Linked DNA regions of Danio rerio. The protein of the gene in region 2 purifies or fractionates together with the protein of the main gene of each other region. This does not show direct contact. Links are inferred from orthologs where the notes say so. Each region holds a gene or a part of one and is shown on either strand. Other genes may lie near its edges.

Region 1 (3,184 bases), on a different chromosome or scaffold from region 2:
TGCTTATATTCTATCCAAAATAAAAAATAAGACTTTCTCCAGAAGAAGAAATATTATCAGACATACTGTGAAAATTTCCTGAATCTGTTAAACATCATTTGGGAAATAATAAAAAAAATCAAATAAAATAAAAAAAATCAAAGGGGTGCTAATAACTCTGACTTCAACTGTAAATAAACTTGAATTAAACTAAATACTTTAGATTAAATTGAGAATTAAAATAAAAGGGCAAATACAGGTTTACACTACTGTCAATAATAATATAACCTGATTCAATCTAAATATTCTTTACTAAATATTTTATATCAATAATTTCCACAATATAAACTGGAACTTTTTTTCAACAACGAAAATAAAAACCTTTTATATTTTAGGGCAGGGGTTGTTGACAGTTTTTTCATTTATCTTCAAGCTAGTTTAAAACATATCCAGGTCACAATTACAAATGTACTGTATAAAATAAACTATAAAAAAATTTTCATGCACACCTTTTGTAAAGCTGCTTTTGAACCCAATTTATTATTATTATTATTATTAACCAATTTTTACTGTGAAAAGTGGCATATAATTAAACTTAAATTCAACTATACAGATTAAAATGTTAACTGATTGAATTTTAAATGCAAATAAATACAAGTATACACTACTGTCAATAACAATATAACCTAATGAAATCGAAATAGTCAGAAGAATACTTTATATCCATTTGTAATTCATTTTTTTCACAGCAGAAATGGGAAGTTTTACAACAACAAATGTATTTTATATTTTAGGACAGGAGTTCCTCATGATCAGATAATCATATTCTGTGGTCTACGGCATAAATAAAAAAGGAAAACTCCTGTATTAAACAACCTTTATCTGTTGCTTTTGAATGATCTTCAAGCTTGTATGAAACATGTTCAGGTTTACTTTAGTCTCAGAAACGTATAATTACTGTACTTCCAGCTTGATGCAAGCAGATCACTATGTAGCATCACATGTGCACTCCATGACAATAACAGGAAGTTATCTCAGGTCAAAGATGTTTTATTGTATAAATCCATGAACTTTGAAGAACAGATGCGTGTCATGATGTTAATAAACTAAAGCCATACAGTCTGACCTAAGCTGATGAATAAATCTGCCAATGCTGGAGAGGTTTTTTGTGAAGAGTGTTTAAATAAAAGTGGGATTCCTTTGTAAAAAATTATACTTGATTCTTTTTTTTAATAATTGGTTGAAATAAACTGTAGGATGTGAATAATAATTACATATTATACAAACACTAATAGCGAACGTTTAACTGTTTACCATTAAACAGTCAAACTGAAGTAGAACCAAATAAACGGAACCATCTCTATAGGTTCCATTCATTCCGATGTTTCCATGGCAACACTGTTAGAGAATGTTTTTTAGAACTGCCTCAAGAAACATAGTAGTCCTGGACAGGTACAGTGAGTGATGTCATCGTTACCCTTGTGGCCTGTGAACAGAAGTGTCTTCACTAAGGTCCTGTAGTCTCTATGAAAGCTTCATGCCCTGAACGTTTGCTCTTAAATGAACCATCTGTTTCTCCTGCATCTGCTTCTCCTGTTTGAACGCCAGTTTGTTTGCTTTCTTCTCGGTCCTCCTCTCCTGAAGCAAGGAAGTAAAGCAAACATGAATGCTAGTGTGCTAGTGACTTTCAGCTCAATGAAGACCATTATAACCGACATATTTCTCACTTCAGAGATAAACTTTGGTAAATCACAAAGAAAGCCTGGACCCAAGTCTAGAACCTGCTAACATAATGCCAACTGAAACATGCTAGCATAAGTTAAAACATGTTAACATTTATAAAGTTCTCAATCATACTAGCGATACGCTAAAACATGCTAGCATTTTGTTAATTCATTACACGTGCTTCTGAAAACATACTAACAAACTAATTCCTGAGAAAAAAATTGCAACTAGCCTATAATGTGCTAACATAATGCCAACTGAAACATGCTAGCAATAACTTAAAACGTGTTCAAATTTAGGTTAAAACATGTTAACATTTATAAAGTTCTCAATCATACTAGCAATGTGCTAAAACATGCTAGCGTATTGTTAATTCATTACATGTGCTTTTGGAAGCATACTAACAAACTAATTCCTGAGAAAAAGCTGGCAACTAGCCTATAATGTGTAAACAAAACACCTACTGAAACATGCTAGCAACAAGTTAAAACATGTTAACATTTATAACGTTCTCAATCATACTAGCAATGTGCTAAAACATGCTAGAATATTGTTCATTAATTACATGTGCTTCTGGAAACATAAGAACAAACAAATTCCTGAGAAAAAAAACTGGCAACTAGCCAAGAACCTGCTAACATAACGCCAACTGAAACATGCTAGCGACAGGTTAAAACATGTTAAAATTTATAACATATTCAATCATCATACCAGCGATGTGCTAAAACAAGCTAGCATATTGTTAATTCATTACATGTGCTACTGGGAACATTCCAACAAGTCGAATTATTCTGAAAGCAAGCTACATATGCTAGAAACATGACCGATTATGTCAAGTCTGGCTAACTTTATTAAAAAATGTTAGCAAAAAGACAGCAACAAGCCACTTCGTGCTAAAACATGCCAATTCTTGATAAAAAAGGCAACTAACCAAGAATATGCTAAAGATAACGCCTACTGAAACATGCTAGTAATGAGTTAAAACATGTTAACATTTATAACATTCTCAATCATACTAGCGATATGCTAAAACTTGCTAGCACGTTGTTACATTACATGTGCTGTTGGAAATACACTAGCAAGTCGATTCACTCTAAAAACAAGCTACAAATGCTAGAAACATGATAAAATCATGCTAACTATTAAAAAAAGGCTATACTATACTACAATATGTTAAACATGCAAATCCTTGAGAAAAAAGGCAACTAGCTAGAACATGCTAACATATAACATAACGCCTACTGAAACATGCTAGCAATAACTTAAATTTTTTTAAAATTTATAACCTAAATACCATTTTCATTCATACTCAGTGTGCTAAAACATGCTAGCACATAATGAATTCATTGCGTGCTAACAAGTCGACTCATCCTAAAAGTAAGTTACATAAATTATGCTAACAGTCAATCCATGCTAAAATGTGTTAAACATCCAAATTCTTGCAGAAACACACGTTAAAACCACACTAATGTTTAGTAAT
Region 2 (3,837 bases):
GCTTATCAGGATGTAAAGTGTAACTGTATACAGAATCAAAACAAACATACACAATCATGCATGTGATCAGATAAGAACAAAAGAAACACACCCCCCTCATTAAAAGTGGCTATATAGATTATTAATAATTTATCATTGTTAATTTTTGCTGTTTATTTTTCAAATATATTTCTGCTGTACGGAGACCCAGAAGAGACGTGATGAAGGGAAAAACTGGATGAGAGAAAAAAAAAAGAGTGATAGGAAAAATAAATATTTTTACGTTTTTGCGTCCCCTTGAAAAGATGCTGTTCCATAAACAATTCCTGTTCATACACTTCCGTTTCGCTGGGATTATCTCATAATTTAACATTCTATCCTTTTCTCATCCTATCATTAAGTATTTCCCCATGTTTTTAATCTTGAAACCATGTTGAAATTAATATAAAAATGTCTTCATTCTGCATCACGGGGTGCAGTGGGTAGCACGATCACCTCACAGGAGGAAGCAAGCAAGTGCTCCGGTGTACCTCACAGTCCGAGGACATGTGGCATAGGTGAATTGAATAAGCTAAATTGGCCCTAGAATATGTGTGTGAATGTGAGTGTATGTGTGTTTCTCAGTGTTGGATTGCGGCTGGAAGGGTATCCACTGGGTAAAACATGTGCTGAATAAGTTGGCGGTTCATTCTGCTGTGGCAACCCCTGACTAATAAATGGACTAAGCCGAAAAGAAAATGAATGGACGAATGTCTTAATTCACTTTCTATTCATCAAAGCTATTTGTCGATCATCGCCTTTTATATACACATGTATTCGCTGATTCAGAGGTTGCATAAGCACTAACAGAGGCACTCCGTGTGATAAACTGATCCCAAATCAGCTTCTGTACATGCAATTTAAAGTGACATCTCTGTTATCAAACAAGTGAAGAGCAGCAAATGCATCTCTCGTTTTGTTTTTGATAACAGAGGTGTCTCTTTATGAAAGCACAGATCTAAAAGCATTCGATTCGAATTAGTTGCAGGGTTCATAAACATTTTAACTACTTAAATTCCATGACTTTTACATGATTTTTAATACTTTTAAGTTCCTGACCTAATGTTTCATACAATGTCTACATATGCGTGGTAAAAAACAATACATGTTAAAATTTATTACAGCATATGGTAAAACAGCCAACACTCTATTTAGTTACAATTTATAATTATTCATTCATTTTCTTTTCGGCTTAGTCCCTTTATTAATCTGGGGCCACCACAGCAAAATAAACCGCCAATAGCCCTTCCAGCTGCAACCCATCACTGGGAAACACCCATACACACTCAATCACACACATACACTACAGACAATTTTAGCTTATAAAATTTCCCTACAGCGTGTCTTTGGACTGTGAGGGAAAACGAAGCACCTTAAGGAAACCCACACGAACACGGGAAGAACATGCAAACTCCACACAAAATGCCAACCGACCCAGCTAAAACTCGAACCAGCGTCCTTCTTGCTTTGCAGCGATACCCACTGCGCCACCATGATGCCCAATTTATATCTATGTAAAATGAATTTTAATAATGCCTACACTGCACTAATGTGAAAGCATGTAATTGGTCAAGGACAGAAAAGCAGTCAAGACAACTAATCGATATTCAAGTACAGATATCAGTTTTCCATAACTTTTCCAAAACTTTGTGAGTTTTTCTGATTTTCCAAAACTTTACCAGGCCTGGAAAATGCCATGTCAAAATTCCAAGATATTCCCAGGTTTTCCATGACCGTATGAACCCTGTAGTTGTGTTTAAAATAAAACATGCAGGACAGACAAGTTTACATATTATACACAATCGAATCCCAAAGAGTTCTGCACTTTAGCGCCTCTTTAAATGGTGTGTACAAAATCAGTTTATCATATGGAGCGCATCCATCAGTCAGCGCTTGTATATGCATTCGCTGATTCAGAGGTTGCATATGAAGGGCGATGATCGACGAACAGCAAGATAACGCAAAACATCTTTGCGAGGGAACGAAAAAATTTTTTAAATATATTTTCCTATAACTCTCAGCCAGTTTTTTTTTCTTTCACACATTTTTTTCCCCACCATCACGTCCCTTCCAGGTCTCCGTACTGCTGTACAGCAAAATGTAAAAACAAAAAAATGTATTTAAAATAACACAATCTAAATTTTATTCATATCGAAATAAAATTGCAAGAAATATTTAGTGTCTAAATTTCTTTCAAACATTAAGGCCACCATTTTTAGGCAAAGATGCTAAAAACCCGAACTAAATATGCTTTTTTTATTGCGTTTTAGTGTGTTTTTATTAAAGGTCACGTGAAATTTAAATGCAGTTTATTTAAATGTTAGTATCAGTATTGTTAGTTTTATTTAGTGCTTCAAAACAGTGAAAAAATTTGCGTTTAGAAGATATAAAACTAATATAAACATGTAAAGCTTGTAGTTTGTCACTTCTGCCCAAACGAAAAAACGGTTTTATTCACGTCACCTCATACTTCAGTTTCCCATCAAATCTTGACCAATCAAATGCTCTCTAGTGTTTCTAGTATCTAGTATCCGCCCCCTTAAAGACTCTTCTCATTTGATTTTCATTTGATGTGCTTGACCTCAAACATTCTCACTTGCAGCGCAATGATAAAACAAAACCCAATTGGCTTTTTTTTTTAAAGGAGAGGAGCTACACTACGTCCTGCTCTTCGTGTTTTGAGATTGTCAAACATGGAATAAAAAAATGCATATTCCAAAGCACTTAATTGTTAAAGCACTTTTAATATTAAAGACTACAATAAACCCTAGATTGCAACCTATAATAATTAACTGCTAAATATTTTTACATAGAATAATCAACTACTCAATTACAAATGTTTTGGGAAAACATAAATCATATGTAAAGCAAGTTTCACACTACCATCTAAATCAAAAGAAACAGATTCTACTCTTGTTTGTTGTTGAAATATAATTCATTAAATTTCCTTTTCCGAACAAACACATCACTAACAGAATAAGTAAATTAATAAATACTAATTGACCTTATTCTAAAATGTGTAAGTGCGCTCATTTCGATTTAGTTTCCTTTAGGAGAAATGACTAGGAACAATAAACAGCAGAAAACAGTCAAACTACTTGCCCTATAAACAAGTGTCCATGACTATACAGACAAAGCAGAATAATATAATAAGATGATATCAGTTTGCAACATCAAGCAGGGTAACAAGTTGTTTTCAACATTAAAAAGGAATGGAAGTGAATGAGACCTGAAGTCTTGGGCCAAAGAAATTCAAATGGCTGTGCCCGGTTGTACGCAATAAATAAGGTCAATGGACTAATATAGTGCAATTATTGCTCTTCTCCACAGAAAACCAACAAGACGATGTTTACAATATGCTTTATTAAAAATGTCTTTCTGTTGAGGGAAAAGGGAAGGAAATGCTTTATCAAGAACCCATGACTACCTGTGTCAAAATAATAGAATAATAGAAATAATAATAAAGTAATAAAATCTTACCTGAGATTCATTATCTCCATCCATTTCATCGTCCATCATCTCATCATCATCATCATCATCATCATCACAGCTGTCATCATCATCATCCCCATCATCACCACCATCCCCTTCCTCCTCAGCATTTTCATCAATAATCCATGTGGCCTGATAGTCGGATGTCCCCTTCGGTACCTTCATCACTCTCCTCTTCTTACTGGCCTCTGAATAGAAATTAAAAAGCACATTATTACAGCTTGTACATTATCAGGCCCTGTTTCCACCTAGTATTACCATCCATTTTCTGCAAATGCATCCAAGTGTAAACAGGGTTTGAGTGTTATTCACTATTAATTACTCATT

What was found.
Region 1: the proteins of tsr1 (region 2) and ltv1 purify together in Homo sapiens (co-immunoprecipitation; 4 studies listed by BioGRID and IntAct, counting the BioPlex papers as one, with this or other methods). This does not show direct contact. The link is inferred for Danio rerio from reciprocal best matches to the Homo sapiens genes TSR1 and LTV1.

What each region holds. Positions count from the first base shown.
Region 1 is NC_133176.1:57,344,074-57,347,257, forward strand, and holds the end of ltv1 (protein LTV1 homolog), read right to left. Parts: intron 1,618-3,184; coding exon 1,504-1,617; 3' UTR 741-1,503; downstream 1-740. UniProt on the Homo sapiens protein: Essential for ribosome biogenesis.
Region 2 is NC_133190.1:28,116,656-28,120,492, reverse strand, and holds part of tsr1 (pre-rRNA-processing protein TSR1 homolog), read right to left. Parts: intron 3,699-3,837; coding exon 3,518-3,698; coding exon of another isoform or gene 3,499-3,517; intron 1-3,498. UniProt on the Homo sapiens protein: Required during maturation of the 40S ribosomal subunit in the nucleolus.